Linked DNA regions of Arabidopsis thaliana. The protein of the gene in region 1 interacts with the protein of each later gene in a biochemical or structural test. Each region holds a gene or a part of one and is shown in the gene's direction. Other genes may lie near its edges.

Evidence for each region.
Region 2: of the proteins of ATG13 (region 1) and TOR, one has a biochemical effect on the other in vitro, tested with the Arabidopsis thaliana proteins (one large-scale study listed by BioGRID).

Annotation. Positions count from the first base shown.
Region 1 is NC_003074.8:18,370,424-18,383,415, forward strand, and holds ATG13 (Autophagy-related protein 13), read left to right. Parts: upstream 1-7,055; 5' UTR 7,056-7,468; coding exon 7,469-8,838; intron 8,839-8,887; coding exon of another isoform or gene 8,888-8,901; coding exon 8,902-9,069; intron 9,070-9,362; coding exon 9,363-9,681; 3' UTR 9,682-9,851; downstream 9,852-12,992. Other genes in the region: AT3G49560 (Mitochondrial import inner membrane translocase subunit Tim17/Tim22/Tim23 family protein), read left to right, coding at 221-523, 605-720, 785-908, 984-1,132, 1,214-1,276, 1,368-1,398; LSU3 (response to low sulfur 3), read right to left, coding at 2,236-2,529; LSU1 (response to low sulfur 1), read right to left, coding at 5,012-5,296; UBP26 (ubiquitin-specific protease 26), read right to left, coding at 10,519-10,613, 10,691-10,832, 10,921-11,184, 11,422-11,634, 12,092-12,163, 12,424-12,631, 12,709-12,992. UniProt on the Arabidopsis thaliana protein: Involved in autophagy in a nutritional condition dependent manner. The ATG1-ATG13 protein kinase complex regulates downstream events required for autophagosome enclosure and/or vacuolar delivery. Becomes a target of autophagy under nutrient starvation.
Region 2 is NC_003070.9:18,529,078-18,542,069, reverse strand, and holds the start of TOR (target of rapamycin), read left to right. Parts: upstream 1-2,074; 5' UTR 2,075-2,450; coding exon 2,451-2,615; intron 2,616-2,838; coding exon 2,839-3,177; intron 3,178-3,255; coding exon 3,256-3,330; intron 3,331-3,507; coding exon 3,508-3,680; intron 3,681-4,048; coding exon 4,049-4,147; intron 4,148-4,463; coding exon 4,464-4,623; intron 4,624-4,691; coding exon 4,692-4,835; intron 4,836-4,972; coding exon 4,973-5,142; intron 5,143-5,221; coding exon 5,222-5,426; intron 5,427-5,499; coding exon 5,500-5,688; intron 5,689-5,895; coding exon 5,896-6,048; intron 6,049-6,516; coding exon 6,517-6,638; intron 6,639-6,726; coding exon 6,727-6,826; intron 6,827-6,900; coding exon 6,901-6,996; intron 6,997-7,297; coding exon 7,298-7,428; intron 7,429-8,136; coding exon 8,137-8,239; intron 8,240-8,314; coding exon 8,315-8,497; intron 8,498-8,571; coding exon 8,572-8,664; intron 8,665-8,763; coding exon 8,764-8,799; intron 8,800-8,902; and 26 more. UniProt on the Arabidopsis thaliana protein: Essential cell growth regulator that controls development from early embryo to seed production. Controls plant growth in environmental stress conditions. Acts through the phosphorylation of downstream effectors that are recruited by the binding partner RAPTOR.

The DNA of each region.
Region 1 (12,992 bases):
CAACTTTTTTACCTAAAAAGAATGGAGAAATTGAGCAATTTTCAGAAATCAGAACTGAGTAAAATGTGGCAAAGACGATAAATGGGCTTTTTTCAGGCCCAGCATATCATATATAACCCAATGGGAGATGAGAAGGAGGGAGAGATAAGACTGAGAAGCAGAGAACCGAAAGAAGAAAACAAAACTCTCGAAGTCGCAACAGAAAAGAAACGAGAGAGATATGGTGGTAGGCGGCGGAGGAGAAGGAGATCAGAAGAGAAGCAGCGGAGAAATGATGGCGATGGCGAGTTTATTCAACGATCAGCAGAATCCAATTCAACAGTTTCAGGTTAAATTCAAAGAAGTAGAAACTAATTTCAAGACATGGTTGTCGAAACAGTCGATTCCGGTGGAAGCCGCCGTCGTATCCACCATGAGCGGTGTACAAGGAGCTTTCATTGGTGGTCTCATGGGAACACTCTCTCCTGAAATGCCTCAAGCCGGCGTTGACCCTCAAGCCATAGCTTCGATGAAACAAGCTCAGGTTTCAACTCTATATAAACCCTATCCTCATTCAAATGTTTGTAAAATTGAGGTATGAGAATTAGGGTTTTTGAATCTGTAGGCTCTTGTGGGTGGTCCTTGGGTCCAAGCTCGGAATTTTGCTGCAATTACTGGTGTGAATGCTGGAATTGCTTCTGTTATGAAGCGGATTAGAGGCAAAGAGGATATTGAATCTGCGTAAGTTTCATTCTTTGTGATTTGGTTACCATTGAGAATGAAAGTAATGGTTTTAAGTTTGCAGAGTGGTGGCAGCGTTAGGATCTGGATTTGCATACTCATTGGTGAGCCAAGGATTGCAAGGACAACCTATGAATGCAATCACTACTGCTGCTGGTTTTGCTGTTTTTCAAGGAGTGTTTTTTAAAGTGAGTGATCATATTGAAAACTCTCTCTACTCATGGAAACTGTATATAAGCATTTTTTTTGGTTTGATTCCTTAGTTGGGAGAAAGATTCTCTAAACCGAGTACTGAAGATCCATTTTTCACAAGAGGAAGGACAATGCTAGTGAAGCTAGGTTTGGAGAAATACGAGAAGAACTTCAAGAAAGGACTTTTAACTGATCCCACATTGCCATTGCTCACTGATAGGTAATTATCTGAACTCCATGTAAAGTTTCTGCTAGCCTTTGTTTATGTTAGCAACTAAAGTTAATGACTTTATTAATCCAGCGCGCTGAAAGATGCGAACATCCCACCAGGGCCAAGACTTATGATACTAGATCATATCCAGAGGTTTGAATTCAACTTCTCTGATACTCCATTGATCAAATATACGAATAATTGCTGAATTTGTGGGAGCTATTCTCTGTTCTTTTGTGTATAGGGACCCGGAGATAAAGGGCAAACGAAAGTAGGAGCCATGTTGTTTAATCAAATATGTTTTGATGGTAACGATCTTCAAACACATATGTAATGCCTTTTACTTTTAGCTGCTATTGCCATGAAGAGCTCTTGTTAGATACTTCTGTTTCTATTACCAATGTTTGATTATCTTTAAAAAAATTGAGTAGTTCGTCTCAAATCAAATTGGATTATAGGTTCTGAATAAAACGAAAATGAAATATGCTTTGTATGAGAATAAGATGTTTATATTATGTATAGTTGATTGGCTTAAGATCAAGACTCGATAAAATTTTGGTTCATACAATTGGCCAATCACCAAAGTGATTCGATCAACTCTTGTTAAATTATTTGATTCTCTTTCTACCTAATTTGTACTGTTGATGTGAAGCTCCATTAATTCTCCTTTATTAAGAACAATAAGCGTGACCACGAAAGAAGAAACTTCGTAAGACGTCTCTGTTATGTCGTAATCACTAAAGTTACATGAATACAATAACGTTTTTTTTTAATGCGGTTTTTATGAAGGAAAATATTAATTTCCTATATCAAAATATCTCCATTAGAACAATAAGCGTGACCACGAAAGAATAAAACTTTCTGAGACGTCTCTGCAATCACAAATGTTGCATGAATTCGAGGAAATATAACTTCAAATTCCCCTAAAACAAATTTTTGTCAACATGGTTAAACACTTTTTTCTGGACATAATTTTAAAGGATTATGAAGAAAATGAAAATTTGTAATACTTATGCAAAATTTCTTTACATATCTTTTTAACACATTAAACTACTTGGATCCCACAATTAAAAAAAAAAAAAAAGCTAAAGACAAAATAATAATTAATCTATCTACGAATTCGTAACAACGACTTCAAGAGAGGAAGAAGAGAGACGAGAGATTTGGTCCATGAGAAAGACTATACGAGAGTGATAGTCACGCGCCTGATCTAAAGACTCGACCTCTAGCTCCGCCAGTTGCGAGCAGAGTCTCTCCTCGGCCTCCTCCGCCACCACCGTACGCCGCCACAGCTGAACCATCTCTTTCTTCATCTCCTCCATTTCTCTCTCCAACTCTCCGTTCCTCCTCCGTAACTCCTCCACTTCTTCCGCCGCCACCGTCACATAACCTCCTCCTTTTCCCATTATGATTATGTTTCTTGTATATAGACAACAATTTGAGTTAGGTGGTTTTGCTGCTTCTTGTGTTAAACTGTTAAATTCTCTTCTATGTGTTGATGGTCCTTTTAATAGGCATATTTTGAGTTTTGGTATTTGGGATTGCAAAGTGTCTAGGTTCAATGTATCTCGTGTTCTCTTCTTTTTTTTTTTGTCGACATCATTGTCTGTCTACTGCACGTGGTACATATCATGCAAGACTATCACAATAATTTATTCCTTTTGAATATCTGCATCTAGAATTATCTTCAAGCAATATTTAACATTAAAAAAAAAAACATTTAGATTAAAATATAAATTAGGTATCGTTATCAGAAAATATATAATTTAGATATGAACTAGTATTATACTAATATGTAAACACACAAAAGTAGATAATTATTTATACAAAATCAAATACACAAAGATATACCACACTAATGATGACGAATATTAATTAGATATATATACTAGTAACCTAATAGGTTTAAAATGTTTTTTGGGGGCTGTTTTATTACATTAATCTAGAAAATGCAACATCAGTACATACATATCCATGCATGATAGTATAAGTATATCTGGCCTATTGTAGATATGTATCCTATATCCCAAATTTGACACATTTAAGAGAAAATCTCATATTCTATCAAAATTTTCATATAATTTGCTCATAGTGATTAGGCAAAAATCTTATAGTTATATTCCTTAATAGCTTATTAAGATGTCAAATTTCTTTTATCATCATCACCATAATTATTAGATACACAAAAAATTAGAAAATCATATTAAGACGTTAATTAGTATTATGCGAATTAGTTGAATATTAGGAATCGGTGAACGTCGTGGAGATACATATGGGTGACGTCACCAATCACGTCGATGTAATTGTCATATCCCATTTCTTCGTGCCTCCAGTGGACCACTTCTACTTATCCCAAGTCAATGGCCGTCGCACCAATGAAACACGTAACGATTATTCCTACTAATTCATTATTCTTGAATCCACCAATATTAGTCATTAAACCCATTAATCTAGGCCAAAGTCTAAGCTATCTCTATTTCCTAAATTGTTCATGGAACTATAGTTAATTAATTACAGTTTGGTCACCCGATATCAAAAGAATTATAGCTTTGTAAACAGTCAAATTCGATAGTCGATATCGTAGACAAATGATTCCAATAATGGTAGATCCTTCTTTTCAAGAGATATCAAAATCAGGGATAAAGTAGCATAAGAAAAAAGCCAAAGAAGAAAAAAAAATCATGAATAATCGTTTGCCCAATTATTACAAAATGCCAAAAAAAGCTGCGACATGAACAAATTCGGAGCGTGGGATGATCACATTTTAGACCATACAATTTGATTGAGTTCCTATACTGTCCAGGTTCAATGTATCTGCTTTCTTGTCCGGTTTAGTCTTCCAAAATTACATACTGGCTCACTTCGGTTTAATTTATTCTAATTTGGTTCAACTTTGTTTAGAATGAAAAAAACACACACACACACATCTTTCTTGAAACAATTGAAGTTTCAATTCATTTTTGGCAGGCATGGTTTACTCCGGTACCGTTGTTGATTAAATAAGAAATGGTAATAATTTTAAATCTACGCATGGCATATTCTCATCGTCAACGGATACTATCTCAAATTTATTATGATCAAAACAGTTAATTAACAGCAAAACAAACAAAATCACGTCAAAATCGAATGTCAATATTCCTCTTAATTTGCCAGCACCACATATCTTCATACTATTTTAAATGATTTTTTTTTATATTAACAAAATAAATATATAATTAAATGAAATAGAAACAGAAAATGACCCTTGAACCAATGGAAAACTTACACAATTTCATGTTTCACGTCCCCTAAAGACTATTGTTATGGTTCCATAGAAAAATCATTGAACCATTCTCTCCTACGGTTTCCATTGACCACAAAAAAAAAATCCTGAAGTTGTGGAAAATTTCCATGAAACTCATGTACCCAAAAACCCTTTATTTTTTTCTACACTCAAGTTTCAATTAACTCTTCTACGATTCCTTTGAAAATTATGGTAATGTAGGATTTCATGGAATTTAAACTTCAAAGTTCTTCGATCCCCTTCGAGTCTCCAATACCTACTAGTTCCATAAAATTATTTTGATAGTTAAGATTGACATTAGATCTCACTCATATATTATTACTTCATTACTTAAACATGGTATCATTCCAAAATATTATTTGCTTCCATAAGAACTTTTGTAATTAAAAGTCAAGACAAAATATGCAACTAGTACCAGAAATACTAATTCATTAGAAATGGAGTTCAACAATTTGTATGATTATCAGAAATTCTAATTTATTCACTAGAAATGGATTCAAACATTTAATTTATGTTGAAAACATAACATATTACCATCGATCTATATACATGTATAGTGATTGTCACATACACAACTATACATAACTTATGAGAAATATCTTATTCTACGAGGAAGAGACGACAGAAGAAGAAGAGAGACGAGAGATTTGATCCATGAGGAAGAGCATGCGATCGTGATAGTCACGTGCCTGTTCTAAAGACTCGACCTCCAGCTCCGCCAGCTGCGAGCAGAGTTGCTCTTCCGCCTCCTCCGCCACAACCGTTCGCTGCCACAACTTAATCATTTCTGTCTTCATCTCCGCCACTTCTCTCGAGAGCTCTATGTTCCTCCTCCTTAGCTCATCCATCTCTTCCGCCGCCACCGTCACGCATCCTCCTCGGTTCGCCATTAAGATTCTTTGTGTAAAAGGATTTGATTGTGGTTCTAACTTTGTTTCTTGATTTGTTGAGTGTTAGGGTTTGATTATGTTTCTTTAATAGGCGCTTTGTGTAGCTTTTGCATGTCCAGGTTCAATGTATCTGCTTCTTGATTTTTATTTCTCCTCACTTTTGATTTCGGTCAATATTTTCTCCTTACTTGAAACTTAAACATACTCATGGCTTATGTATGCATAGACCACCCCAAAAGAGAAAATTTACTATTTTTTTCGAATGTTCAATTTTTTTTTTTCGTTTTTTTATCACAGTTTCGCTAGGTTCGATTTAAATATTTTTTATATGAAACTTAAACCAAATTAATTTCGAAATTTCCGGTTTATCCATGTTATTAACTAGTTTTAACTTTAAAATTAATAAACAAATTGCCGTCTATACAACTATAAATTGATAAATGGATAAATATATGTTAACGTGTAAATAGAATAGTAATTAATAATTCTAATGCCGTGGTTTACACAAATTCAATTTAATTATTTATAAATCTCTGGTCCGTCAAATTTGTAATAAAAATGTGTTGGTCTGATCTCTGATGTATGTATGTGGTATATATTGATTACATTATTGAGTTAGTAGGGCTTGAAATAGGTGACGTCTGAAGCCAATCACTATAGTGTTTCTCACTTTCTTGTGATATTGTGAGTTTGTGACAAGGATTTATTCTTTAGATTATTAACTAACAAGTTAATAATTTGGGAAAACGCTGCCGCTTAATATTGCGTTACTTATATTATGATTGAAGAACTATTATGGGATATTTCACGACATCATACATCTACAACCACTATAAAATAGAAAATTAGTGTACTATCACCAAAAATATATTTCTCCTGTTCCATGAAATTTGATGTTTTAGATTTTTTTTTGTTCCATAAAAATTGATTTCTTAGGTTAATATTATTATTATTTTTATTAATGACTAATAGAGAGAGGAAAGAAGTAGAAATTATATTATTAAATTAACAAAAAAATAATATAAATAACATAAAAGTTAATTTTCTTAATTTGGGTGAAAAACCCAAAACATCATTCTTTTAGGAACATAGAGAATATATAATAGACATTTACAACTTATACATTTGTTGATAACATGCAGTATGTTAGTTTGAATACATATTTTTCACAACAGTAATAATAACAGTTGTTAGAAGACTAAACTACATTGTAAGAATCGCTTTCTCTTGTAATGATACAATATAACATATAACATTTAAAATAAAATAAAAATCTGTAGGTTTTAAAATGTTAGCTACGTAGTCCATAACTTCAAAAAACCAATGGTTTTGAACTCATTCCATAGTGATGATTGCAAATACATATTATCTGGTTTACAAAAAAAAAAAAAAAGTGTTCCAATTATCTAGAAATGTTGGGCCTAATGCTTAAACAGTAAGCCCATATACTTAAACATCCGACTTGGCGCATTTGCTTCACCTTCTCTACCAAAAAAGCGCGTGAGATTCAGGTTCACTGTATACATTAAGAGCCTATTGTCTTGTCTCCTGTAAAACCAGAAGAAAACAAAAATTCAACAAAGGATAACAAGGACGTGGCTATTCTTCATTGGCTGCATTCACAAGAGTCGAATATTAATTAGTAATTTCACAGTATAGTACATTAAGATTAACGAGACCTATTGTCTCCTGTAATTGAGGCAACAAGATAAGGGTAAAACGAGAAAAACAAAAGAGAACAAAGACGTGGCTATTTATCATTGGTTGAATTCAATATTAATTTAATTAGTAATTTCACAGTGTTCTCAAATCGTGATCGTGTGTGTTTCTTCTACCTCTGAAACTCTTTTTGTTTATGTTGATCATCATCATCGTCATCTGCGTGTAAAACACACTCACGCCATCGTTGACGTCTCAGATCTTCACATAAAAGCTTCTATTATCAAACTCTCTTCCTCACGGTAACCCTAACTATCTGTAATTTATCTCTCTACACTTTCTTCATCTCTTAATCACCTTAATCATCTTAAGCTTTGTATTTCTAGATCCTTCTCCCAAAACAACGATTCGTGATCTCCGTTCTCATAGATCAGTTTCGGATTTGGATATTTCTTAGGGATTTGTGTGAGATATTTTTAGAATTGTTTCGATTTAGGGATTTGTGTGAAGAAGATGGATTTTCCAGAGAATTTGCCTTCAGATATAGGAAGATTAGAGCAGATTGTTTCTCATTTCTTCCCAAAAGCATTACACATAGTTCTTAATTCCAGAATCCCTTCGTTGCAATCTCGTGGTCGTACTCGTGAGCGTTTATCAGGTCTTAACGTTAGAAAAAGTGACAAATGGTTTAATCTTGTGATGGGAGATCGTCCTGCTGCGTTGGAGAAATTGCATTCTTGGCATAGGAATATTCTGGATTCTATGATTATTGATATCATTCTTGTCCATCCGATTTCAAACGATAATTTGGATGATGATGATGATCATAGTGATTCTGTTGTTAGATCAGCTGAGACTGTGATTGAGCGTTGGGTTGTTCAATATGAGAATCCTTTGATTATGTCTCCTCAGAGTTCTGACTCTGCAACGCGTTACCAGAAGGTTTACAAGAAATCTATCATTCTGTTGCGGTCTCTTTATGCACAGACTCGGCTTCTTCCTGCTTATCGTGTCTCTAGGCAGCTGAGTTCTTCTCTTGCTTCTTCTGGTTATGATTTGATTTACAAGGTTTCATCTTTCAGTGACATATTCTCTGGTCCTGTGACGGAAACAATGAAAGAGTTTCGTTTTGCTCCTGTTGAAGTGCCTCCTGGTCGTCTTTGTGCATCGGTTACTTACCGTTCTGACTTATCTGATTTTAATCTCGGTGCTCATATCACATTGCCTCCGAGGATTATAACTGATTATGTGGGAAGTCCTGCAACAGATCCTATGAGGTTTTTCCCTTCTCCAGGGAGAAGTGTTGAAGGCCATTCCTTTACTGGTAGAGCTGGTCGGCCTCCATTGACTGGTTCATCTGCAGAACGTCCGCATAGCTGGACTAGCGGCTTTCACAGACCTCCAGCTCAATTCGCAACACCGAACCAATCTTTTTCGCCAGCTCAGTCTCATCAGTTGTCACCTGGGTTACACGATTTCCACTGGTCACGTACAGATGCTTTTGGTGACAATCACCAGCTTTCACCTCCCTTTTCACCATCGGGTTCTCCATCTACTCCAAGATACATATCTGGGGGTAACAGTCCGCGCATTAATGTGAGACCAGGGACTGCTCCAGTGACCATTCCTTCTTCAGCCACGTTAAATAGATACGTTTCATCTAACTTCTCTGAGCCAGGTAGGAATCCACTTCCTCCTTTTTCCCCCAAAAGCACAAGACGCTCCCCTTCATCGCAGGACTCTTTGCCTGGGATTGCGTTGTACAGGAGTTCTAGAAGCGGAGAGTCTCCTTCTGGATTAATGAACCAGTACCCTACTCAAAAGGTTATGCTTCTTACATCTTATGTGTCTTGCTCAATGCAAGAAAAATATCACTATATTTTGTATTGCCTCATCTGATATTTTGTTGATTTATTTATATCTACTCTTCAGCTGTCAAAGGACAGCAAATACGATTCAGGCCGCTTCTCAGGAGTTCTGTCTTCGAGTGACTCACCAAGATTCGCGTTTTCTAGGAGCCCCAGTAGATTATCTTCCCAAGACGACTTGGATGACCCTGATTGTTCATGCCCTTTTGATTTCGATGATGTTGATGAGTCAGGACTTCAGTACAGGTTGGCTTTATCCCACTACCTAACTTGAATCATTCAAAGGAAATATTATATACTTGGATTAGTTTACAGAAATCTTTACACATAGAGCTGGTCAATGACAAGATGCCATGAAGAAAACACTAATGTGTTGGCTGTTTTGTTTAATGTGAAATTGTTGGCATTCACACTCTATACTTGGCCTTTCTCTTACTGTTTCTTTATCATTTTTTGGTCTGTCAAGTTCACTTCTTCTTGGGTTTTTTAGTCTTTGGTAGTAAGAAAATGACAGATATTTTGCAATTTTTTCGATGCAGCCATAGTCTTGACCGGAGGAAAACTTCAAGCTCTATATCGCAGTCGCTACCTCTAGGGAGAAGATCATCACAGGACGCAGCGGTTGGTGTTCTGGTTCACATGCTGAAGACAGCACCACCATTACGACAAGACTCAAGCACTTATATGGCGTCAATGTCTGGGGTTCAGAGAGAAGGTTCAGTGTCAGGTACAGAATCTGAATTTTCGATGGCTCGTAGCACATCAGATGCACTAGAGGAACTGAGAAACTACAAACAGCTCAAAGACTTGCTTCTCTCCAAATCCAAAAGTGGGTCTGGACCAACTCGCGTCCACTGAGCCAAATCAAAGAGCGATCAAGATATGAGTTATCCGATGGTTGTTTGTAGATATGAATTTGATGACGAATACTTAACTCTGTTGTATATTGCCAAAGAGCAATCACGTTTTGGTTTCTGTAAAAGAACTTGCCTTTGAATATGCACATAAAATAAACTAATCAAACTTGAATCTTTTCATTATGAAGTAGTGAAATTTATTGAGGGTTTTGTTGTTGTTGACAAATCATGTGAAAACCTTGTTTTCTCATCTGGACCTCTTTCTAGAAGAAACATGAAATACACAAATGTTGAAAACCGGTCACCTATACTCTTTTAAGATGAGTGTGAAACGAAGCAAAGAGTCACATTGATAGAGAGATCGGATGCATGATAGTTCCTACTGTGATAACAAGCTATTTGGGTATAAGGTCACAAGATGTGCAGCACAAAACGAGAGAGAGAAGAGTTTTAAACGCAATGCCCATTTAGATAAAAAGTACACCAAAAACACACACACAAAAGTCAGCTTCAAATAGCCATCCACAATAAGCCTTTGCATCTACACAAATTCAGCTTGTGCTAAGCTTTCTCCAAATCTTTGCGTTTGTTTTTTACACAAAATAAAGCTCCAAAGCCTTGCCTGCCTTTACAAAAAAACTGACCCAAAAAATGTGTCGTCCGTCTCCTGCACAACTACTGAGAAAGACAAAATCATAAGACCACCGCAGATAAGAAGAGATTTTAGTTTCGAGAAAGTAGCTCTTATAAGATATTTTACCTCCTCTAGATGGTCCAATGACTCTTTCTCAGTTCTCACGCATTCTGTTTTTACACTTTGATCACAAAGTTACAATTTCTAGCAGGCTTCAGAAGAGATATTCCCAGTCAATAGCGTCCCTCGAAACCCTTCTTCGATATCTTGAGCCCCCGGTTTCTTTTCACATAACTCATCTGTTAAGACATAAGATGAATAGTTTTACATGGACATCTCGCTAACCAGACAGCAGAATAATGGTAAATTTGGTTACCAGCAATATCGCGGTGTTCATGCATCTCTGTATCTCTCACCCAAAGCCTGTCGCCGGGGAATATGTTCATGTCTGCAAGGGTTGCAGATTCCTGATCAATCACTTTTGAGCCTTTGTGGAGTTCCTGGTTTTCCTTCATCACCTGCATATTTTATTGAAACCCCGTTTTGTTGTGTTTCTTCAAGTTATCTACAGAAACGAAAAAAACACTATGTCTAAAAGAATCTTACCCCAAGTAATTCCCATATCATCATCTTTAATTGGTATACAGTCGTTGTCGCAGACACTTTCAGGCTTGTCAGGTTTCCATAATTTGTTCTCCGAGATCGCTTTGAAGTACGCCGATCCACCTCAAAGCTAGAGTCAGATGCCTCTAACATTGCTTTTGGAGCTTCCTTTCCACGCACAAAACAGACAAATACATCTCCCTCAGAGTAACTAAGTTTCTGCATCAACTCACAGCTTTCTCTCTCTCCTATGCATTCCTCGCAAATCTAGCGAAAATAAAAGATCCTGTTAAATGCAACTCTAGTCATGAAGTCATACAATAATAAATGTGAATGCAAATGATCACACTTGCTTTTAAGAAAAAGAAAAACAGTATACCGTAACGCATCTGAACTTCATATATGGACCAATGTGAAATACTAAGCCAACATTGCCATTCAATATTACATCACACTCTCAAAATGTTGACCAAAAAAAAAGGCTCAAGATAATAATGCAAATACCTCTGGGGATGCCCTGAGAATAAGCTGTTGAGCATCAACGTCCATATTATCATCCGGAGAAGAATCCTTCTCAAGGTCAATGACGTCTGGGGATGAACTTTGGTCTGTATTGCCAACCTCAATAAAAGCAGATATTCCATTCTCCATGAGCCCTCCCCACTCGTCACAGAAATATTTCCAATCAAGCTCAGGGATGATTGTTAGCTTGTCTGTCTAGAAAAAGGTGCAAGAGTACTAGAGATTAGATCAAAATCAGAATTCCCCAAGTCTGCGTTTGACGCTATAAACAGCCAACACGAGAGAGGATGTAAACTGAATCCGACAATCACGATACCAATTTGTTAAATTCAGAACATGATTCCCTTTATTTCTCACTGAAAGAAAATCACACCACAGAACCACGGAACCATACTATCAGACACCTTACTTCCAAGCTCTAAAACCAGTCTCAAAACACACAGACACCTCCCCACACTTGATTAATCTCTTATTTATAATATCCTTACTTCTACAGAAATAAGTTATTTATGTTCATATGAAAAATATTTGTTGAAGCCTCTCTATGTTGTGATGAACACTTATCAATTTTCCATTCAGATATTGGCTTTACTGTATCAAACAGTTTAAAAATAGATTAGGAATCATCTCACGGTATATATGATGCACTTACAGATGGATTTTTCTGAAAATACGAGCCACGTCTGCAGACAAGTTCAGGGAGCCTTTCAAGGAGTCGTGTATGCTGAAACAAACAACCATAGGAACAAACCATTAGTTTTATGCTCATAGTGGGGGGATGAAATGAGGCCTGCTGAAATAAGACAGGTCATACCACCCGCGTTTACTAACATATATTGAAATATTTCTATGAGAGGAAATAGAGAAAGTGGTCAGGGACACTGATTTAGAATTAATCACTTCTGTCCACATAGAGCTTTACCCCCACAATATCTAACTGCCAGTAAATTGGAAACCGACTCACTGCCGAGCAACAGATCTTACCTTTTTGCATTTGAGAGTATTAATGACTCCATCAAGACGTTCAGGCTCTGGTGCTGAAGAACTATTTTTTCCAGTCATGTTAATATAGATTCTCCATTGCACTAGCCACGGAGAAGGCAACAAGAAATATCGGCTTTGTGGCGTTAATGGTATACCCTTTCCCGTGGCTAACTTCTCGTGATTTTGGCGCTGCTTGACCTTCAATGTTCTGTTGCATAAAATAGAAGGTAAGAAAATCTTTAAGAGTATAACGACCAACAAAAAAAATAACTAATCATGGCTAACCTTAGTGAATCCTCGAAGCATGCAACCTCAGAAAGTACCTCTGTGCAATGACAACATTGGCTGGAGTCCACAGGAAAACAAGTACAATCCAAAGTATCTTCTGACATCACTTTTAGAGCATCTTCAAAAAGGAATGACCAGAAATTCTCTGGAACTACAACTCTTTTGGCCCCTGGTGCTTGCTCTGGCATCAGCTCACCATGATTGCACGTAATAGCATTTGTGGGCCCCGCATCTGCTTCAGTAGGAGCATCAAGATTTTTCCTTTTTATCCATTGCTGTAA
Region 2 (12,992 bases), on another chromosome or scaffold:
AAACAGGCTGGAATATAGCTGTGATTTTTTTGTTGAGAAAAACAAATGGAAATTAGGTGAAAGATTTTGTGGGGTCAAAACTCCAAAAAACCAAACTATCGCCTGTCAATTTCCAGATGTGTAAATTGAAATAATATTATTCTTTCTTTTATTTTATTTTTTTATTTTTTGGTAAATAAAAGTTTTTTTTTAGTTTAAGTATGTATTGATTCTTAACCTTGAAATTTCTAGTGTTCTAAATAGATTTATTTCTTTACTCCTTTATATGATTTTTTTAGTTAAATGTTTTTGTCTTTTACAATTTTGATATAATTTCTGGAATCGTTATTGAGGTTTATATGGTAGATTTTTTTCTTTTATACAGGAAACATATCAAGAGATTAAATAGTAACGTGTATATATATTTTTGCTGGTCTTGAATTCTTTTTAATGTATGTACATTTTGTTGTTGTTTTATTGACATTTCACACGTTTTATTAAATATATTTCTACTTAGATAACGATTGAAAATAGGAATACGTCGTATACTGTAATTTGTAAGATTTTAATGTAGCTTTTTTTGGCACTGATACTTGATTACTTCTAAAAACTGAAAGATCTTGTAAAATGCAGTTTTTTTAATGGAAGAGAGAAATAATGGAACAGTGGATAAAAAAAAGCCAAAGACCTTTTTGATTTGAAATGATTTAGCTTTTAAATTTTGAAATAAGCTGATGGAAAATAGTTAGAAGTGGATAATTTATCTATCTGTTTATCACTTAGGTTAGATGAATTGGTCCCAAAAGTTGGAGCACGCATGTATATAGTTGGCATCATTATCCTTTGCTAATAATATAAAACTTAAGAAGCTAATAAATTAATATTGACAAAAAAGTCTAAACTAATAATAAAATTCTTCTTTTTTTTTGATGAGGTTATTTATCCTATATGGAAATGTATATGTTATTATTTAAATTCTATACGTATAATGCGTTAATGATATAAAAAATTGAGTTATTTTGTGTCATTTTAACTCTTTTTTAAATAGTACTCTTAGTTGTAGTTTATTAATTTGGAGAGAAAAGAACACCAATATTTTCACCGACATTCTTGTCACGTTATGGGATTGCGCAACGTTAACACTTGGACCCTGTCTATTCACCATCCTTGATGTGTACGATGAAACCAAGCGATGCTATAGCCTCCCACAAGCCACAACTCTTTTGAAATTTTATGTTGGATGTGCTTCGTTTAATTTTCGAATGTAATGCTTATTTTGTCATACACAATCATTGTGATTATTTTCGTTGTAACAACGGAGAAACACGAACTATATTTTGGAGGAGCCATTTCTTTAGTTTTTCCTATACATATGAATATGAATACTACTTAACATACAAGCAAAACAAAAATTTACCATTGGAGAATAAATAATGATTTCTATGATTTAGAATTTTTATGAATAGAAAAACAAAGTTTCATCACATCTAACAATTCAAATCCACTCCATACCAAAAAAAAGAAAAACAATTCAAATTAACTGAATGATATGATTCACATTTCATCAATTTTTCAATATATGATATATCGATTACCATACAACTATTTTACAATTCTACTATTATTTGACATTTTTTATTCAAAATTTGACTAATATTCGATATTTTTTTGTATAGATATTATTCCTCTTATTTATTTAATTTGTTGACAAACTTAACCATATGCATTCAATTGAATTTTTTCATTTTCCCCATTATTTTTGTTCGTAATGACTACTAATTACAACAAAACTATAGTTTATTATTTTCCTACAATTTAATGATCATTTTAAAAACTCCTTATCTGCTTAAAAGCATAATTGGAAATAATAATAATAAAGTGAAATGACAATAAAAGAAAACTTATTCAAGAAACTACAAAGTTATTCCTTGACAAAAAAAGTTATTCTATTGTCCAGTGAACAAATATGAGTTTTTGACTATTTTTTTTTTCACAAGTAATTTTTTTTCTTTGACAAGTGTATATTAAACATTCTAAACATTACATAGCCCAAACAAAGACCCTTTCAGGGTTTTAAGTAATTAATCAGTGACAAAAAAAAATGAAAATATTGTATTTATAAGTTTTTGATAGACAAACATAAGTTTTACAATTTTCCAAGGAAAAAGTCATATTTTCCTAGTAAAAACCTTTCGGGTTTTCCAATTTATTTACCAAAGATAATTGGTCTCTGAAAGAACAAAGCAAAACCTAAGAAAGCTAAAAAGACACTCAGCGAATTGAATTTGTAAAAAAATAAGAGAAAAAATCTTGATTTCTTCTGCGATCTTCGGTTCTCGACGCATCATGTGTTGAAGATTCTTCTATCTTCCTCTGTACATACTCTCTCTCTGCCCAAGTGTTGTTGAACCAAAAAGGGGTCAGATTTAGGGTTTTTGGAAGATTTTTGTGGCTGGACTGGCCCTGCAGCGATGTCTACCTCGTCGCAATCTTTTGTGGCTGGACGGCCTGCATCCATGGCTTCCCCTTCGCAATCGCACCGCTTTTGTGGTCCCTCAGCCACCGCTTCTGGTGGCGGAAGCTTTGACACTTTGAATCGTGTCATCGCTGACCTTTGCAGCCGTGGTAATCCTAAGGTAATGAAGAACATTGTAAAGTATTCTCCCTTTTTATGCTTTAGTAGAAACCCATATAACCCTTTTGCTTTTATTGCTTATCTGACGGAATCTCTCTGTTCTGGTTAATGGAAAATTCGAAGTTTTAGTTCTTATAGGTCTGGCAATTTGTGGGTTTTGATCTATTGTTGTTGGTTTCCATCAAGTATGCGACTTTGTTTATGATTTTTGGTTGTTGTATTAGGAGGGAGCTCCTTTAGCGTTTAGGAAACACGTAGAGGAAGCAGTTCGTGATCTTAGTGGTGAAGCTTCCTCTAGGTTCATGGAGCAATTATATGACAGGATTGCTAATTTAATTGAGAGCACTGATGTGGCGGAAAACATGGGTGCACTCAGAGCCATTGATGAGTTGACGGAGATTGGATTTGGTGAGAATGCTACTAAGGTTTCTAGATTTGCGGGTTACATGAGGACTGTGTTCGAGTTGAAGCGTGATCCTGAAATCTTGGTGCTTGCTAGTAGAGTTTTGGGGCACCTTGCTCGGGCAGGTGGAGCAATGACTTCTGATGAAGTGGAGTTTCAGGTAAGATTGTTTGTTTCCCTCCCCTTCCTATCACTGTCTCGGCTCATAGTTGCTCAATTCTTGATCTCGTTTTCACAGATGAAAACAGCTTTTGATTGGCTTCGCGTAGACAGGGTGGAATATCGTCGTTTCGCCGCCGTTTTAATATTAAAGGTATCCTGATTTCAGCTGCCCGATCCTTTAGATAAGCAGATCATTTTTTCTTTTAGTTACTCAGAAAGAAACTTCTGAACTAATAAATTGGATTATAGATGTTTGAAAAATGATAGTGATGATAACTTTCCAATCCTAAGTTAATACGGATATGGATGTTTTCTTGCAACATTGCAGGAGATGGCCGAAAATGCTTCTACTGTCTTTAACGTTCATGTCCCTGAATTTGTGGATGCTATCTGGGTTGCACTTAGGGACCCCCAGTTGCAAGTGCGAGAACGAGCTGTTGAAGCTTTGCGTGCATGCCTTCGTGTTATTGAGAAAAGGGAGACTCGATGGCGAGTGCAGTGGTAAGTATTCTCTTATCCTTGAAAATGATAATGTCTGAAATGTTTTCCTTAGGTTATGTATTTGGTATGATATTTTTGATGCAAGGCTTTTCTTTGTGTTGTTGCAATACTTTCATTTGCAATCACCCTCATTTAAGTACTACTTTGTATATTTTATTGTGTAAATGCAACTTATATTAGCTTTTTATGCTGTGGTCCCCCCCCCCCCCCCAAAATGGATGATATTCGAATATATATTCTTCCCATGGTGATACGTTTTGCAGACTTTCTACTGCATTTATATATATCATTGCCAATGCAATGTTTCAAATTATCAATAGGGGTTTCCATCTTTATTAACTGATCTTCTCTCAATTTGGCTTTTACAGGTACTATCGAATGTTTGAAGCTACACAGGATGGGTTGGGCAGAAATGCTCCGGTTCACAGTATTCATGGTTCTTTACTTGCCGTGGGGGAGCTGTTGAGGTAAATGCAGAAGTGGTTATCTATTTTGAAAGCATCCCTTTCTTTTAGTCAGACACTCAAGTTTGATTCTGGAATATTTCCGTAGAACAACTTGTTTGTCCCCATGATGCTCGGGTTGTTTTGTTAGTTTGTCTTCGTATTGTAGTTTACATCATTAAAAAAGTAGGCAATTCATGTATATTCCTCCACTCTCAGTGTATACCTGAACAAAAGACTCTTGACGACGAAAATTACGTTGTTTTCTGTTATAAGCAGATTGATTTCATGGCATATTGGGTGTTAGAGTTTACAGCTTAATGCTAGAGTTCGTTTGCAGGAATACAGGTGAGTTCATGATGTCTAGGTATAGAGAAGTTGCCGAAATTGTCCTCAGATACCTTGAACATCGTGATCGCCTTGTTCGCCTTAGCATCACCTCGTTACTGCCTCGCATTGCTCACTTTCTCCGTGACCGGTTTGTGACAAACTATTTAACGGTAAGTGACTGAGAGATTCTTAAAACCAAAAAATTTCTGGAAACGTGACACGAATTACTTTCTTGCAGATATGCATGAATCATATTCTTACTGTGTTAAGAATACCGGCTGAAAGAGCCAGTGGGTTCATCGCCCTTGGGGAAATGGCTGGTGCTTTGGATGGTGAGCTTATCCATTATTTGCCGACAATTATGTCTCATCTGCGGGATGCGGTGGGTCAAATTTTATTTATTTATTTATTTATTTTGTAATTACGTTTTACTACTTTTGTGTCAAAGTATTATATTGGGTTTTAGTTTTGAAAACTGAACTAGACAAGTGGCTTTGTTCGACTATGTTGTCCCTGTAGATTGCTCCACGTAAAGGCAGACCTTTGCTTGAAGCTGTGGCTTGTGTTGGTAACATCGCAAAGGCAATGGGATCCACAGTGGAAACTCATGTTCGAGATCTTTTAGATGTTATGTTTTCATCTAGTCTCTCTTCCACACTTGTTGACGCTCTTGACCAGATAACCATCAGGTAAAGTTGAACGAAAGAAGTTTGTTATTACATACATTGATGTGTATACGTTTAATGCTGACAATTCTTTGTATCTCAGCATTCCTTCTTTGCTGCCAACAGTACAAGATCGGCTTCTAGATTGCATTTCGTTGGTTCTTTCAAAATCCCATTATTCTCAAGCAAAGCCTCCTGTTACCATTGTCCGAGGTAGTACAGTGGGCATGGCACCACAGTCTTCTGACCCTAGTTGTTCAGCTCAAGTTCAACTAGCCCTGCAGACTCTTGCTCGTTTCAATTTCAAGGTTGGCGCTCTTTGCGGATAACATTTTCTAAAGAATATGAAATTTCTGTCTTTGAGCTTCTGATTTCTGGCAGGGACATGATCTTCTTGAATTTGCTCGGGAGTCAGTTGTTGTTTATTTGGATGATGAGGATGCAGCCACAAGAAAAGATGCTGCTTTGTGTTGTTGCAGACTAATTGCAAATTCTCTTTCTGGCATCACACAATTTGGCTCGAGCAGGTCAACACGAGCAGGGGGGAGACGCAGGCGCCTTGTGGAAGAGGTTTTATATCATACTGAAAGCCCATTACATTTTTTTCTTATTATGTCTTTTAATTTCACTGTTTCTCATTACAAAAGGTTTCTTTTTATTATTTTCCAAATCTGAACTTAAGTATGTTAAACATGCTTCGTGATGGCATTTATAATTGCAATACCAGTGGCGGTTCCAATTTTCTGCTTGCTGAGAAATGATGTTTGGGTTCTGCAGATTGTGGAAAAGCTTCTCAGGACAGCCGTTGCAGATGCTGATGTAACTGTTCGCAAATCTATATTCGTTGCTTTATTTGGCAACCAATGTTTCGATGATTATCTAGCACAGGCTGATAGTTTGACTGCCATTTTTGCTTCCTTAAATGATGAGGTATGATTGTGTTATTTGTTTGAATAAAATAGCAGCTTAGATGTCATACTGCAGTCCTAATTTGTTACCGATCTTTTATTTGTCTCTCTTGGGTGAATTATTGTAATTGTATTGCTCTTTGAGATTCAATTTCATGGGTTCATGAAGTTGGTATTTAATTACTCCCCCTAATATCAAAATTTGGATACCAAGACGTAGCTGGGCTTTTAGTCTATGAATTAGCTTCTATTGTGTCACAAAACAGTGTTACTTATTAAGTTGTACTGGAAAAGTGCAGCTGAGATAACTTAATTGGATGATTTGTGGATGGAATGAATGCCTTTTGTTGGTGGATGCATCATGTGATACCCTGTTAACTTGATAGAATGTTTGGCTTATGTTTCACACTTTCACTCCACCTGGCTACAGTATCTGGCCTAGTCAATGGAACCATTTCAATTCATATATTACAATATCTCTGTTTAACAGGACCTTGATGTTCGAGAATATGCCATCTCAGTTGCTGGAAGGTTATCGGAAAAAAATCCAGCATACGTACTTCCAGCACTTCGTCGCCATCTTATACAGTTGTTGACCTATCTTGAGCTGAGGTAACTACAAATTTTTTAGTTCATATGGGAAGATTCATTTCCTATGATTATGTATCTGTTGCATTGACTTCAATTGTAATGTCAGCAGTGCAGATAACAAGTGCAGGGAAGAGAGTGCAAAGCTCCTTGGTTGTTTAGTTCGAAATTGTGAACGGCTCATTCTTCCATACGTAGCCCCTGTCCAAAAGGTTTAATTTCTTTTCATTTCTTAGATAGTATGGCTATTATTGTTGTTCACGGGGTTGTAACTCTTGTTTTCTAGGCACTTGTTGCGAGACTTAGTGAAGGAACTGGAGTGAATGCTAACAATAATATTGTCACTGGAGTTCTCGTAACTGTTGGGGATCTTGCAAGAGTGGTAAGTTGAAATATAATTGGCAAGTTTTAGATTCTATATTAAGTGTCGATTCAAACATAACTGCGTTTTTGCTGCGCGTTAAAGTTGCAGTCTGATTTTTGACTATTTCTATCTGTGTTCTAAGTCTGTGTTGGCTAAGCGTATTTCAAATTTCAATGCCCTGGCCGGCATCTAATATTGTATTTTTTGTTGTCTCTAAGTTAACAGAATGTTGGTACTTTTATTTCCTTTCCTGTCCTGTTATTTATTGTGTTTGGCTAAGATATTCCCTTCCTGGTTTTCTTTTGCGTTGCTTGCTCAGGGTGGCTTGGCAATGAGACAATATATTCCGGAGCTGATGCCTTTAATTGTTGAAGCTTTAATGGATGGAGCTGCTGTAGCAAAACGTGAGGTGGCTGTTTCTACTCTTGGTCAAGTTGTTCAAAGTACAGGGTATGAGATATTGACCTTCTTTTACGACTTTCTTCTTGTTTTATATGATAATGCTACTAGGCAATTTTGAACATGCTAATTTTCTTGTAAACTAAGACAATGCTACTATCTTGATTGGCGAAAGCCTGGTTGGACTAGATGAAAATACTGGATTCTAAGTGAATTTTTTGACACAAACGGGGCCTCCATCTCTTCTTATTAGCTAGGTAGAAGCCTGAGCTATCCTTAGGCTGTTTATGTGTTAATGTATACATATGTGTTATGTTTATCCTTTAACCTACTAAAAGTGAGAAAATTCTATATGAAATGACAATATTGTTATCCCTAGCTAGTTCTTCTATCTGCGGTAGATCTTTGTGATGGTTTTTTTTCCGTCTCTCCTGAGATGGCTCATTATTCCGGAGAAAGAATATTGCCTTTCTGTGTCCGGACTTGTCATGAGTTGTATTCTCTGTTTGTCGTGCGAAAGGATTGATTTACCAATACCTAGGATATTATGCTGCCTAGATTTAATCAACTGTATCACTGGTGTTTATGAAGTTGTAGACATTTGTAGACAGTGCGGTGATCAACTTGCATGTTACTGTTTAGTAGCTTGGGACATGTGCTAATTATTGTGCACATAACTAGTACAAAATGAAGGGAGTTCCAGAAGTTTACAATCCTCCCTGCATGTTATTTACGGCTCTAATTTCATTATGAACGTAGGTATGTTGTGACTCCATACAAGGAATACCCATTGTTGCTTGGGTTACTCTTGAAATTGCTGAAGGGTGACTTAGTGTGGTCTACCAGACGAGAAGTGCTCAAGGTAGTTTCTAGAGAATTGTTTTACTCTAGACTATTCTAGAAGATATTTTTGTGATAAACGTGGTTATATCTACAGGTTCTTGGAATTATGGGCGCTTTGGATCCTCATGTGCATAAACGTAACCAACAAAGTTTATCAGGATCACATGGTGAAGTTCCTCGCGGCACTGGTGATTCTGGTCAACCTATTCCATCAATTGATGAGTTACCTGTCGAACTCCGGCCGTCATTTGCTACATCTGAGGATTATTACTCAACGGTAGTTCTTAATTTGTGTGAATATATTTCATTTGTAGTCTGAATTGTGCTCAATTACTTTCCTTATTGTTATAGGTTGCTATCAACTCGCTTATGCGAATTCTTAGAGATGCATCACTTCTTAGTTACCACAAAAGGGTTGTTAGATCTCTGATGATCATTTTCAAGGTAACTAAAACCATCTTGACTGTTTTTTAAAATAAACTTGTGTTGGAACTGCAATGAGGAGGTTACAACTTTATCACTACTTTGTTTTTGCGAGGTTAGTCAATGGGATTGGGATGCGTGCCTTACTTGCCGAAGGTAGGTGTAAATAATATTGTATCTCCGGCAGCTTTTCGATAAATGCTCTCTCTGTTTTACGTTGTGGTAATTTGTTGGGTTGGTTCCACCTCTGAATTTGAAGGTTTTACCTGAGCTTTTTCACACTGTTCGAACATCTGATGAGAACCTGAAGGACTTCATTACGTGGGGTCTTGGGACTCTTGTTTCCATTGTTCGCCAGGTATATCCACCTTAATATTTTCAGTTATGGTCAAAATACGACCGACTTTGTGTAAACTCATAGCTTATGTTATCTGTGTACAGCACATACGCAAGTATCTGCCAGAGCTGCTTTCATTAGTCTCTGAACTATGGTCATCCTTCACCTTGCCCGGTCCCATACGCCCATCACGTGGTCTTCCGGTAAGTTGTATGCTGCCTAGAGTATGCTATGTTTCTTATTGATTAAGGACAGATATCTTATGGGGAGTACTTCGCCTCTCTTACTGATAATCAGGTTCTGCATCTACTGGAACATCTTTGCTTGGCACTTAATGATGAATTCAGAACTTATCTTCCAGTCATCCTTCCATGTTTCATCCAAGTATTAGGTGACGCCGAGCGGTTTAATGATTACACCTATGTTCCTGATATTCTCCACACACTCGAAGTGTTTGGCGGTCAGTAATACTTATCTTGTTTTGACATCCTCATAGTCATTTTATATTACTTGGGTATGCGAGTTCTAGTAATTAACGTATGCAGTTCTTTTACAAGAATGTAAAGAGGTTCCACATTATTAGATTGTGTAGTGTAAGATGATACAAGTAGTTTCGTTATTATATGCATATTTGTTTCTTATCTATTAAATCCAATTTTTTTTCGGTATATAGGTTCTTTGAATAGTCAGATTGTTTACTCCTGTAGTTTCCATTTTCTCACCATGGCCAGATTTCACTCTGATGGTTGACCCTTAGAGTCCTTATGTGCAGGAACTCTTGATGAGCACATGCATTTACTCCTTCCGGCACTTATTCGATTGTTTAAAGTAGATGCTCCTGTAGCTATAAGACGCGATGCCATCAAAACTTTGACAAGAGTAATCCCGTGTGTTCAGGTTAGGAGCTTTGGTTATTTATTTTGATTTTTTTTTTCCCTTTGCTGATCCAGAAAAAATTCCATATTAAGCTTCTTGTAATACTTTTAATTATCCGTATATATCCTCAGGTTACTGGTCATATCTCCGCTCTCGTGCATCACTTGAAGCTAGTATTAGATGGGTGAGTTATACTGATTGTCACTATCTGAAAAACAGTATATTGGTTACTTTTTCCTAAGGGTTTTCTTACAATACTTCTTCAAAACTTAGGCATTGTGTCACTATCTGGTTTTCTCTTAAATGGTTGACAATGCATTATCAAAAAGGATGGAATTATTATTATCTCATTAACTTTCAATCCGTCATTGTTACTGTTACAAATCTGTTTTCCATAAGTTGTTTGTATTGCTTAGTTACAATTTTTTCTGGCCACATGTATTTGTTATTAGAACTCCGCAGATGTTAGTTACATTTCTTAATATCATGGGATTTTATCTGCCATTATTGATGGGACCCAATTGTTTTCTAGTGGATTTTCATTTCACGTTTTTCTAAACCTTACTCGTGATTTCAGTTTCGTACGTATAAATATTCTTATGGGGTATATCTTCTGTAATCGCAGGAAGAATGATGAGTTGCGGAAAGATGCTGTCGATGCACTATGCTGTTTGGCTCATGCACTTGGAGAGGACTTCACCATATTCATTGAATCAATTCACAAGCTTTTATTGAAGCATCGATTGCGGGTCTTGCATTTTACTATCTTTTAAATAAAAATAGCAGCAAAAATTTATCTGTCATGTATTATAAATGTCATTTGTGAACTTCTGTCTGTAAAATCTCACTGTACAACATTTTTTCAGCATAAAGAATTTGAGGAAATTCATGCTCGCTGGCGGAGACGTGAACCATTGATTGTAGCTACAACTGCAACCCAACAATTAAGTAGGCGACTGCCAGTTGAGGTTATCAGGGATCCTGTAATTGAGAATGAGATCGATCCTTTCGAAGAAGGAACTGACAGAAACCATCAGGTACTCTTTTCTGTGTCGTATATAATCACATATAGATTCTTAATGTGTGAAAATTTTGTTATCAAGTTTCAAGTTAAAATCATGATTTTACTCTAACATTGTACAAAATTTCTGGTCGGCATAGTCATTATTAGTATGACTTCATTGAGGCAAACATGGGGTGTATTGTAGGGTTCCTTAGCTGAATAAGGCGGATCTTTTTTTCTTTCTTTTTCCTATCTAAATGATGGGTAGGTTTATCTATAGCAACGTTCATTCATTGAAGCTTAGTCTTGGTCCTGAGCCATTTGCTTCAATGAGTTTGTAAATATGTCCTCTATATTTCCTCTTCTCCATGGACATTCAGCTTTTAAAAACAAATAAAACTATATATGGGCTTGATTTAACATGATCCTCTAGTAAAGTTTATTTGGTTCTTTCTTAGTTTTGAAAGAGCTAAAACTTTCACTCATGGCTTTGATGATCTGCTGAACAGGTTAATGATGGTAGACTACGGACAGCTGGAGAAGCTTCTCAACGCAGCACCAAAGAAGATTGGGAGGAATGGATGAGACATTTTAGTATTGAATTACTTAAGGAGTCTCCCTCTCCAGCATTAAGAACTTGTGCAAAACTTGCTCAGTTGCAGGTGTTTCATCTATGCTCTTTCTTTTCCTCTCTCAAAAGGGTGCATTTTAATGATTGTGTTTTGCAGCCATTTGTCGGGAGAGAGTTGTTTGCTGCTGGCTTTGTCAGTTGCTGGGCACAGCTAAACGAGTCTAGCCAAAAGCAGTTAGTTAGGAGCTTGGAAATGGCCTTTTCATCTCCAAATATCCCTCCAGAAATTTTAGCTACACTACTCAATTTGGTATGTTCGTTGTTACATTACAAGAAAACTTAAACATGATAAAGACCTTTGATTGAGTCACTGGCTATAACGAACAGCAAATTTGTTTCCTGTGGCTATGCTTGTGCTTATTGAGTGCTTGTGTTTTAGCTTAGGCGATTGTTATGAGTTGACTACATTTTCCAAGACTGGAAACAAAAACTTCTTAGGTCACCATTTCTTTAGCGGTTGCACCTGTTAATCTTTCTATGTAAAACACGTTTTTTGTTGCTAAAACCATCAACAAAACGATCTGTGAGTGTACATGGAAACATGACGTGTAATTTTTATTTAATCTAATATTAACACTATAATCCAAATATCTGCTTATACTTCGTTTAATCTATATTACGTTTAGGTTGGATAAACAATCATAAGTTCAGAATCAATATCAACCTACCTTTATGTGTGATCCTGTTGCTTGGTCCTGTCACTTGTGCTTGATTTTATTATTTCTCTTCTTAGGCAGAGTTTATGGAACATGATGAGAAGCCTCTTCCCATTGATATTCGTCTTCTGGGGGCTCTTGCTGAAAAGGTTTGCGTTATGTATTTGCTAGTTAAATTAGATTTGGTACTTTTTTCATTTGCGTATCAAGAATTCATCTGATTTTCTTGGTAATGTGCAATATTCCAACTTTGTAGTGCCGTGTTTTTGCCAAAGCTCTGCATTATAAAGAGATGGAATTTGAAGGTCCACGATCCAAGAGGATGGATGCCAACCCAGTTGCTGTTGTCGAGGCTCTTATACACATAAATAATCAGTTACACCAGCATGAGGTACACTGTATTTTGTATCCTATTTCGACCATCTTTGATATTTGTTATTATTGATTGGTTGGAATTCTTTGTATAGGCTGCTGTCGGTATACTAACCTATGCTCAACAACATCTTGATGTGCAATTAAAAGAATCATGGTAACATGGCTTTTCTGAATCATGATGCACTTATTTTCAGTTCTGTTTGATAGGCATTCCGTCACAAGATTGTGTGTGGTTCCATTCTTTGATCCTAATCAGTGGAAAAGCACTAACAGTGTTTGTTTCTAGGTATGAGAAGCTGCAGCGCTGGGACGATGCACTCAAGGCGTACACTTTGAAAGCATCTCAAACAACAAATCCTCATCTTGTATTAGAAGCCACATTAGGTTTGTGGTAACCAAGACTAATATTGGGAGGATTTAGTGGGTTTTTTTCTTCGATAATGTTTTTTTCTAAGTTCTGTTGGCATTTTT